Linked DNA regions of Schizosaccharomyces pombe. The protein of the gene in region 1 purifies or fractionates together with the protein of each later gene. This does not show direct contact. Each region holds a gene or a part of one and is shown on either strand. Other genes may lie near its edges. The genes, in order: cid13, rad25 and pabp.

Region 1 (3,756 bases):
GCGAATAAGGCTCAAGTATTGGCGAAATCAATATGCAAAAATAATGTAAAAAGTATGAATTAGAAAAATTAAGATAGAAAGATAGCTACTAACGAACCATCAGCGAACGTCACCAAACCTTCAGCATCAACTCTTGAATGCTTGTACTGTGGATAATACCGGCTCACTGTGTAAGCTAACTGGCGATACTACTTCAGAAGAAGAGGAATTTGAAGGAGGTGAATTGTTATCCGTAGGAGTAAAAGAGAAGGCATCAGGATAGTACTGGAATGGACCCGAAGATTGCTTCTTTTTGTGAAACTTATTGCGAGAATATCGCCGAGAATTAGACAAATTTTTTTCGTGACGATCCCCGCCATGCCTCTCATCAAAATGGTGTGAAGATTTGGGGTAGGGAGAATTATACCATGTATAAAAGTCCATGTATGAGGGTGGAAGATAGCTATTATTATTAATATAGCATGCATAGGTGTAAGGGTCAACAAAGGTATAAGGGACATTGGGAGGGATTGCAGGGACGTCGTTTGAGTATATAGAAGAGTAGTCAATGGATGAATTAATATTCTGATTATAATAGGGAGAAGCGGTTGCATTATAAGGATCAAAGGCCCAAGCAAAATGTGATGGCTCAGGAGGGGATTCTGTACAGCTGGTGTCCGAAGAGTCACGACCATGGGAGAAACCAGGAACTATTTCCAATTGTAGTTCATTTACATAATCGTCCATAAAGCTTGTGTCAGTTAGAGAGGGAAAAGTAAATTGCGAACAAGCATCGTCGACATTGCAATTATACGCTAAAAGACGGAAAACACGTCGAAATTCCAATTGTATTCCTTTCATGGTAATCTCATCTGCAGTATTAGCTAGATTTCGAGATGTATGGAAAGGCTCTTCAACACACAGAAAATTGTTAAGCTGAAATTGCCATCCTTTTGCTCGTTTCGAAAGAAAGGTACCGTGTCTAATGGATAAAACAAAATGCTCGTAATCAAATAAATAACCAAAAAATCGAAAAAACTCTACGAACAGGATACCAAGAGACTCCTCGTTTTTGTCACCAAAACCATGAACAAGATCTGGATCGTCGAAAAACGACACATCCAGCCCGTCAGTCATAGTAGACGAATCTTGTAAATGAGGAAGCATTTGCAAGCTGGGAAGAATCGGTGGATCGCGCTTTTGTAAAAAGTTTATAACCATACAGCTTATGGTGTAAGAAGTGAGTGTACCGCCCTCGGCAGCGTCATTCAAGCATCGTCTTTTTGCCCAATATTTAATCATAACAATCAAGGGCCGAACTCGGGGATCACAAAGAACGTAAGAGCGCATCAAACGCGTGTTTAAGGTAGATATAGTTTTATTGATATTGCAATCGCATGATAGTTGTAATTCTGAGTCCCAAACCTTTACAATTGGCACTTTAGCTGTTGAAATGCAAACGACCTTTTTAAGTCCGTTCCTAGCAAAGGCAGCTGACACCTCGCAGGTCGTTGGAGCACATTGAGGCGGATCAGTAATGATACACAAATCAATGTCTGATGCATTGCTGGCAAGAAGAGATTGGGTTGACCCAAAAAGGGAGGTTTTGATATTTTTATAGGGGAATTCTTTTTTCAATATTTGTTCGAGTTTCTGCACAAATGCATATCGACGTTCTAAACCCGAGTCGTTCAGTATAATAGAGTCATACAACTCGTACAGTTGAGAAGAAATTAGATCAGTATCAATATCAACTAAATTCTTTAATGATAGAGGATGTACTGGCGGAAGTGGATCCGCACCGAGGCTATAAGGAATACGCCTTCTATATTGAAAGCTGCGAGTTTCAAATTTGCAACCGCCAACGCAATTAGCGTTGTCCATAGTATTAAGAGGGTAAGAAGCTTCTAAGGTTTAATAAGTTGCAAATTCTCTATGGATTCCGACGTTATCCTACCTTGTCAGCTAGTAAAGGCGTGAGTTCTTTGTAATATGATCAGCTTTGATCTGAAACGATCCAGCAAGAACAGTTCAAATGTACGAGCCCTATCGACAAGAAAAGACAATTTAGAAGTACTTCTAAGTTTCAAGATCGTATTGATGAATTAATATGAAGTTGGTAATGTTTGTAGCTATTCTTAGGAAGAGGTGTGGGATAAAAGAACCGCCTAACAGCAATACGTACGTACATAGGTATCAGCTTTCCTACACAAGGAACAAGTACGGCATCAACATAGGATCGGTAAATAAGTAACAAATGAATATACAACGCCGTTATAAAGTAACCTTAATATATTCACGTAAGACACCTTTAAAGCAACGTTCAGCTAATGATATTTTTACAATCTTCAACTGAAAACAATAAACAAAGTAATCATCAAAGAAAAAACGCAAACAATGACGTTGGCATGACAACGAGCATAATTGACACCTTTCTTGACGTTTTGACGTTAAATAGCGTGATTCCGTAATCTGCGTTATTCTATAAACAAACTAGCAATACATAAACATACATGATCAATGTTGCTCCCACAAAGCATGGACTTGACTTTCCAATTGAGTGGAAACGTTCGTGTAATACTTTACTACTAACGAATGTACAGCAGACAATATTAAATAAAAAACGCCGCCAAGTAAGCTATCCATCTAACTCCAAATACCATACAATTGACTCCTTTAATAAGAAACATAAATCAAACAATCTAACGGAATTTGAAATCGTTTCATTTATTCACTAAAATCTACGCTAAAACATGACACAACTTCATCTAGAAATTACATCTATGTCATCAAACGACACCACAGTTGTAATATAATAGATGAAATTAAACACGTCAGAAAACACCAGCTGCCCTACATAATACGACCAAAAGGAAACATATCATGTAAGAGATCATCGCATAGAAAGACAGCAAAACAATTAGGTAAAAAACCTAATCGAAAAGCATGCCTTCAAAGAATTAAAAGTCCTCACTCTGAGGGCAACGGTGCCTCCTATCATCATCCGTGTTGAGTTCTGTGGCTAGGTTAGGAAACCCAAGCCGGACGTATACTATAGAAATGATCCTATGGAGTATCGTCGATAGTGTTTTGTTGAGGATAATGACCCGTATATATAGTAAATATAACGGAAAAGCAGTCACATTCATTTCCAATCAACGAATAATGTTGAACTTTCAAGTATAATGCAGTGTCAATTACACTATATTAAAAAGACTTTGCAAGGCGGTGAAGCTGCTCTTAAATTACAATAAGCATGAAAATCATATTTCGGTAAATTAGTAAAAGAAGTCATGAAAATAGAGCTTAAGGCCGAGAAAACAAAAAAAAAATTTACAAATTTTTTAACTAGTTAGAAAAGGTTTAATAAAACTGGTAGGCTCCTCTATTCTATAACTTGTAATCGCCGACAGCCATGGCTTTAAAAAGTTGCTACTTGTTGTTACTTGTCATTAAACTGGTGAACACTAACTCCTTTAGAAGTTCGTACAGCAATTTGCACTTCAACCAACTACTTGGCAGACTTAAAAAACATGTCTGATACAACTTCATTGAATGTGTAAGAATGACTAAGATATATAAATAACTAATTCAGTAGTCCAGAATTGGAGTCTCCCCCTATTGAGCGGGTGGAATTAGAATCTTTACTTGTAATGAATATCATCAAGCACTGCCGTGATTCTTTTCCTAATATGGGAACAATTGGTAAGTGTAGTCATTGGAGAATAAGTTTTCCCTATTTTTCGAAATGATAAAACTTGCAATTTTTCTGCATCA
Region 2 (3,756 bases), 2.6 Mb from region 1:
CTAGGGTCCACTGGAAATCGATGTTTAGATTTACTCGAGTGTTTACGATCAGAAAATCTAGGCCTGTTCTGCATCCTAGCATTTTGTTTGTAATAAAAGCCCGTAGGCACTGACCGGGATGTATTGGATGGCATAATTCAAACAGGATTATGGATGCTAAGAATTGACAGGTTGTATAGCAATGAATGTATTATTCTTGGTTTATCAAAATAGTTATAATGCCAAAGAGATCGAATAGCGTTTGGTTTAACAAACTAACGGTTTGTGGATTATTTATATAATTACTCTATTGGTGAGAAAGAGAGGATTTCTGCCCACATTTGATTGAGAGGTTTGAATTTATTAAAAATATTTAAAGAATAATTTCACAAAACTCAAACAACAGAGGAAATGCCAATTTTTAGAGATGTGTTGTTGAGGTGTGGCAGCTAAGACGCTTATCATTGATATGGAAGGCAATTTTTTAAAGACCCCCAAATCATATACCAGACAAAATACAGTATCTTTAAGCATAGTTTTGTTTAATTTCATCAATATTTTTGAAGTGTATTTGTAAGAATCCAATGCAGCATAATTAAATTCATTTCCGGCCTACACATATTGAACCAGGTTCAAATTGGTGCAAATTAATTATTTTCTTGTAAGGATGAATAGAATTGGTTAGTAAATTCTGCTGAAGTTGCACATAAGAGGACGGTTTTGTTTACTAGACAAAATAAGTACCGCGACTTATAAAAAATCTTATCCCAACCAGATTGTCCCTTGTAACAATTTAAAATCCTACTTTTCGTATTACCGCGCAATCAAGTTGCCCACAACGGGACTGCAGCATTGCAGTAGAAACCCCATCAAACGTGTAAGTGAAATGAGCGAACAATAACCCTGAAATTATAAAGTCGTATTATCTTGTTTAAATCAACTCATACCTTTTTCATATAAGAATATCGTATTGTTTCAGGATAACAGAAACAATTTCAGGGAAACTTGAAAGGTTTATGATAAACGCAGTATGCAATTTTAGAACAACGAGAATTAAAAAACTTTACATTTAAGCCAAGAAGTATTAAGTTTAAAATACACAAGTTGAAGGAGCAATTAATCAGCACAATGTAATTTGATCTTTTTTGTTCGTAAAATTACCGTTTGCGGTAATCACCAATCTGTGATGACAACGCCGAAAAGCAGCTTACATAATAACACACACTTTTCAGCTCACTGTACTCCTTTGTAGTCAATGTAATATAATGGAATTTCGCCGCCTCCTACGGATATTCAAGCATATCGCATATGCCATCGAAAACTAAAGAAAAACGCCTTCTTCTTGAAGCTTCCTGCATAGAGTGATAAAAAACCTTCTAAAACTTCTTTGCCCCTAAAGTAAGCCTCTTGTTTCTGTCAAGCTTCCTCAATTATTGCACTCATTGTTTTAACTGTAATCTTTCACGCTTATGTTTGATACTTGGTATCTTGTTTTCGAAAGAAAAACTTATTGTAACATACTTTAAGACAGCAATTCCTCATTCAGTGAGTAAAAACGCGTTTTCTACCGAATTCCTATTGACACTGGGCATTTGTTTGGCATTTGTTTTTGGAAGCCTAATCATACGTGTAAGAAGTATTTTTACGATATTGTAAAAGAATAAGAGAGGTGTAGTGATGTTTCTGTTAGATATCCATAAATCTCAGTATAGTCCGTCATATATTCGGCTGACCAACCAACCTTCCCAACTTTCCTTTCTCACTTCTACCAACCTCAACTAACCACCGCTTTTAATAATTCCTTGCAAATATGAGTAATTCTCGTGAAAACTCGGTGTATCTCGCCAAGTTGGCCGAACAGGCTGAACGCTACGAAGGTATGTGATAAGGATCCGCTGTTGGAAGTAGATATAGCGTAATAGTACGAAATTGTCAATGAAGGGACCTTGATGAAAAGTTATTATATTGCAGTTTGCTACTGTATGTGGGAGTTCTTTGGTTTTTTAATATTGTTGGTCTTGAACAGGTTGCGTTGTTGAATGTTGCAAGGTTGTTTGTTTGATGCGGCTGAGAAAAAGAGGGGTTATGGGTTAGTACGTGGATGACTTGTGTATTTTAAAATGTCCCCAAAATCGCTTGATGAGGTTTAAAATGAGTTCTTACAACATTGTTTTGTTGTTGGACATGTTTATGATATCTGAGGTTATGGACAAGAACGGCTTGCAATTCTCTTGATTTTATGGTTTTCGTAATCATTATTTTTTGTCGCCTTTGTTCTATTTCCTACCTTGCTTCCTTTTTTCTCTTAAAACCACGATTGAACTGCCTTGATTGTCTTATCATTCTTATCTCCTCTTATGATTTGAGGTTTCTTTGTAACCACCAAGACAAAGAAATTCACTAACATCAGGAGTAACACGAAACACCGTTCTGTAGGTAAACCTCAACGCAATTAAGGATATTATTACCTTCATATCTTCACCATGCAATGATAACTCGTTTTGAATTACTGTTTGTTGACCCGTCTATACTTGGCTTTGCTTCTTTCATCTCTCCTTTTTGTTTTTGCTTCTTTGCTAACTGATAATGTATAGAAATGGTCGAAAATATGAAGAAAGTTGCATGCTCAAACGATAAACTTTCTGTTGAAGAACGTAACTTGCTTTCTGTTGCCTATAAAAACATCATTGGTGCTCGCAGAGCATCATGGCGTATTATTTCCTCTATAGAGCAAAAGGAGGAAAGTAGGGGCAACACTCGACAAGCCGCATTGATTAAAGAGTACCGTAAGAAGATTGAAGATGAGTTATCCGATATTTGTCATGACGTCCTTTCCGTCCTTGAAAAGCATTTGATTCCTGCCGCTACAACCGGTGAATCCAAGGTATTTTACTATAAAATGAAGGGTGATTACTATCGTTATTTGGCCGAATTTACTGTTGGCGAAGTTTGCAAAGAGGCCGCCGACAGCTCTTTAGAAGCTTACAAGGCAGCTTCTGACATTGCTGTTGCTGAGTTGCCTCCCACGGACCCTATGCGCTTGGGTTTGGCTCTCAACTTTTCCGTCTTCTATTATGAAATCCTTGACTCTCCAGAAAGTGCATGCCATTTGGCTAAACAAGTATTTGATGAGGCCATTTCAGAGCTCGATAGTCTTTCTGAAGAATCTTACAAAGACTCTACTTTAATCATGCAGCTTCTTCGCGATAACTTGACTTTATGGACTTCTGACGCCGAATACAACCAGTCTGCTAAGGAGGAGGCTCCTGCTGCCGCTGCTGCTTCTGAAAACGAACATCCCGAGCCCAAAGAGTCTACGACTGACACTGTTAAAGCTTGAAACTAAAGCGTTAGCATTTTATCAGTAAACGGATCCTAATGGTCTGATTACTTTTGCATATATGAACTGATACCTATGATTTATCTAATATTCGTAGCCATATAACAAAGTTATCTTCATTATATTCTTCTTGCACTTTATTTCTATCATTTATAAATTTATAACTTTGATTACGTTTCATGAGTAGTTAGTTTGGCTTTGTGGCCTTAAAACCATCAAAGCATACTATTATTATACATTGTACATGCGTTACACTACACCACCCCTTTTTTTAACGTTTAGTTTAGTATGCAGTAGAGTATAGTTCATTTGAGTAACGTTAACATTAAATAATCATGAATTAAGCCCAAATAGATATAGCAACTCTTCTTTGTCAAGTCTCGACAGAGGATTGTTTTCGTTTGAATCCAAAGCTTCTTTAACCAATTGACGCTTCT
Region 3 (3,756 bases), 560 kb from region 1:
GCCCAAGGTAGAGATTATCATGGTGTAAGGGCAAGGGCACAAGGAGTCGAGAATTTTATCAATGAAATATTGGGTCAAAAAATTTTCGTCTCTTTCAGATACTCGATGAAGATGGAATGCTCGATAAACTAAGAGACACGACTAGGCAGACCCTCCACGATGTCTAAGTGTACAATATGGTAAGAGAGTAGAGGACGTAGTGTTTGATCAGCATGTCTATTGACGGAGAATCGGACATGCCCAATTTGAAAATAGGGTTGCAGGAAAAAGTGGCTTGAGGAGATGTAACGAGAAAAAAAGATTTGGCGATGATGGAGAGAGATGGAAAATATAAGAGATGAATGACAAGAGGGGATCTTGCAGCACTGTAGTTAAAAGAAGGAGGGTTTAATGATTTTTGGTTGTAATTGAACAGATGTAGTGAATATGAATAAAAATACAAACCATGTATATAGTCTATTTTTCAATACTCTACTATTTTTTCCCTTTTTACTTTGCTTGTATCATTACAAAGTGATATAGTTCGTATACTTGAAAATTATTGAGAGTTTGGTACGATTGGTTGAGACATTGCCTCAAAAAAGCGCAACACTTTCAATTCCAATACCGATTCGAGCGCTACTTTTTTTTTTATTATTATTAGTGACTCATTACTCACAAGTAACTAAGGTACTAGTACGGAAACCCTTCTTCCTCTTCCCTAACCCACTTTTCCATTCGGCCACTTTTGGCTCTCGCTTCTGCCCATTTCGTTTTCTCCTGTCCTTTTCCTTTTTATCTACCCTTTTTCGGTTATATATATCCGCCATTGCTTACTGAGACAGTTTTTTTTTTTTTTTTTTTTTTTTTTTTAACCGCTTATAAATTGCTCGTCCTCATTTTCTTTTTCTCCCATAATCTATCTCCTGCTATCTTTTACACTTGCCATCACGCTCGGCTCTTACCCATACCTTTACGTCCATGGAAGGGTTATTGGGGTGCCTTGGATAGCGCTAAACTTCCTCATGATTTCCTATCCCCTCGTCCCCCCAACTTTGTCACTCACTTCCATTTTTACATCATCTGCGCTTACTGTCCCCATATACGATAAAGGGCGCTTGTGTCGCCCATGCAAATCCATATTCGACACATTCAAGCTTAAATTTCCGTACTGCGCAAAGTTGTCGTCGCTTTTCGATATGCTGTAAATAGCGTAAGCACGGTAAAATGTGTTAAATTGAGTTTCAAGATTTTGGCGATGAGAGAGATGCGAAATGCGACATAACGAGTTATAAGAGGAAAACAAGGCAAAAAAATAAATAATAGCGTACTCAATGTCGTCTCATGATCATAATCGTATATGTAAACAACTTGGTTTTATGTATCTCGTTCCAACACTGTTTCGATAGTCTTTTTCAGTTATAGTCTAGTTACAAAAAAAGAGAGAAAAGAAAAGAAATCAAAACAAAACAAAATTAAAAGCAATTGCAATAAAAATTTCCAACTTATTCTCTACCACCCAATTGATTTTTTATACACACATTCATAATCTTTCTACGATTTATCTGTTTGTTCAATTGAACCATATGCATAGTCAAGTTCCTATAATACTCTGTCGTCCTGCCAACATAAAATTTCACATACATTGTCCCGTAAAATTCCACTCTTTGTTTTGCTTTTATGACACGTCTATCCTAATCCCTGTGCTTTCTTTGTTCGGAATTTCACCTCCTTTTACTCTTTTGCCTACCATTTGTGCGTGTCTCAAATAACCTATTTAGTGTGCCGATATCACATACCAAATCTATTCCTTATACTGTAGTTGTAGAAACTCATTTATTAAAGTATATTTACGACATTTCGTTGAGATTCCTTGTTTGTTTTGGTAGAAAGGAAATCCCCATCTCATCGAAATTTTCCCCAAAATTTAAACAAGCACTCTTGCACTGCAATTCCATATTTTTTCCTTCCAAAAATTTTTTCGCCTTTTCCTTTGTTTTCTTTTGCCTTTTCTTTTATGGTAATTCTTTGATTTCTGCCTTACTTTACGTAGTGTACTCACATTTTATTTATTAAGTTGGGTTTTCTTTCGGAGTTCAAGATACCGGAGTACAGTGCTGTGATTTAAATTTTCGCCCACCACACATTCCTTCCTTCGCAAACCACAAAACCTATAAATTTAAAAAAATCTCGAAAAATATCATAAAAGCCCAAGTTTTTAAAATTCTGAAAACGCCATGCCTTCCACGGATCTTAAGAAGCAAGCTGATGCCGCCGTTGAGAGCGATGTAAATACCAACAACGAGGCTGTTGAGTCTTCTACCAAGGAGGAGTCTTCCAACACTCCTTCCACCGAAACTCAACCCGAGAAGAAGGCAGAGGAGCCTGAAGCCGCTGCCGAACCCTCCGAGTCTACCTCTACCCCTACTAATGCTAGTTCGGTTGCCACTCCCTCTGGCACTGCTCCCACCAGTGCTTCCTTGTACGTTGGTGAGCTCGATCCCTCCGTCACTGAGGCTATGCTTTTTGAGCTGTTTAACAGTATTGGACCCGTTGCAAGTATTCGTGTTTGCCGTGATGCCGTTACTCGCCGTTCTTTGGGTTATGCCTATGTCAACTTCCACAATATGGAAGATGGTGAGAAGGCCTTGGATGAGCTTAACTATACTCTCATCAAAGGACGTCCTTGCCGCATCATGTGGTCTCAACGTGACCCATCCTTGCGTAAAATGGGTACTGGTAACGTTTTCATCAAAAACTTGGATCCTGCCATCGACAACAAGGCTTTACACGACACTTTCTCCGCCTTTGGTAAGATTTTGTCCTGCAAGGTTGCTGTTGATGAGTTAGGTAATGCTAAAGGTTACGGTTTTGTGCATTTTGACTCGGTCGAGTCTGCCAATGCTGCTATCGAGCATGTCAATGGCATGCTTTTGAACGACAAAAAGGTTTATGTCGGTCATCATGTTAGCCGCCGTGAGCGTCAATCCAAGGTTGAGGCTTTGAAGGCAAACTTTACCAACGTCTACATTAAGAACCTTGACACCGAAATTACCGAACAAGAGTTCTCCGACCTCTTTGGTCAATTCGGTGAGATCACCTCTCTCTCTCTTGTCAAGGATCAGAATGACAAACCTCGTGGTTTTGGTTTCGTCAACTATGCCAACCACGAATGTGCTCAAAAGGCCGTTGATGAGCTCAACGACAAGGAGTACAAGGGTAAGAAGCTTTATGTTGGTCGTGCTCAAAAGAAGCATGAGCGCGAAGAGGAGCTTCGTAAGCGTTATGAACAAATGAAGCTTGAGAAGATGAACAAATATCAAGGTGTCAATTTGTTCATTAAAAACTTGCAGGACGAGGTTGACGATGAGCGTCTTAAGGCTGAATTTTCTGCCTTTGGAACCATCACTTCTGCCAAGATCATGACCGATGAGCAAGGCAAGTCTAAGGGTTTCGGTTTCGTTTGCTACACCACTCCTGAGGAGGCCAACAAGGCTGTTACTGAGATGAACCAGCGTATGCTTGCTGGTAAGCCCCTTTACGTTGCTTTGGCTCAACGTAAGGAGGTTCGCCGTAGTCAGTTGGAGGCTCAAATCCAGGCGCGTAACCAATTCCGTTTACAACAACAAGTTGCCGCTGCTGCCGGCATTCCCGCTGTTCAATATGGTGCCACTGGTCCTCTTATTTACGGTCCTGGTGGTTATCCTATTCCTGCTGCCGTCAATGGTCGTGGTATGCCTATGGTTCCTGGACATAATGGCCCTATGCCTATGTATC

The links.
Region 2: the proteins of cid13 (region 1) and rad25 purify together in Schizosaccharomyces pombe (affinity purification with mass spectrometry, with the first as the bait; one study listed by BioGRID). This does not show direct contact.
Region 3: the proteins of cid13 (region 1) and pabp purify together in Schizosaccharomyces pombe (affinity purification with western blotting; one study listed by BioGRID). This does not show direct contact.

The regions. Positions count from the first base shown.
Region 1 is NC_003424.3:984,885-988,640, forward strand, and holds the start of cid13 (cytoplasmic poly(A) polymerase Cid13), read right to left. Parts: upstream 2,137-3,756; 5' UTR 1,864-2,136; coding exon 127-1,863; 3' UTR 1-126. Other genes in the region: tif308 (translation initiation factor eIF3h (p40)), read left to right, coding at 3,513-3,538, 3,578-3,684. UniProt on the Schizosaccharomyces pombe protein: Polymerase that creates the 3' poly(A) tail of suc22 mRNA.
Region 2 is NC_003424.3:3,582,813-3,586,568, reverse strand, and holds rad25 (14-3-3 protein Rad25), read left to right. Parts: upstream 1-1,727; 5' UTR 1,728-1,789; coding exon 1,790-1,856; intron 1,857-2,573; coding exon 2,574-3,319; 3' UTR 3,320-3,441; downstream 3,442-3,756. Other genes in the region: vacuolar CorA family magnesium ion transmembrane transporter Mnr2, read right to left, coding at 1-134; rrp1 (ATP-dependent DNA helicase), read right to left, coding at 3,653-3,756. UniProt on the Schizosaccharomyces pombe protein: Acts in cell cycle and stress checkpoint signaling by sequestering signal transducers regulated by the checkpoints. Required for the DNA damage checkpoint that ensures that DNA damage is repaired before mitosis is attempted.
Region 3 is NC_003424.3:1,540,649-1,544,404, forward strand, and holds the start of pabp (major poly(A) binding protein Pabp/Pab1), read left to right. Parts: upstream 1-2,137; 5' UTR 2,138-2,216; coding exon 2,217-3,756. UniProt on the Schizosaccharomyces pombe protein: Binds the poly(A) tail of mRNA. Appears to be an important mediator of the multiple roles of the poly(A) tail in mRNA biogenesis, stability and translation. In the nucleus, involved in both mRNA cleavage and polyadenylation.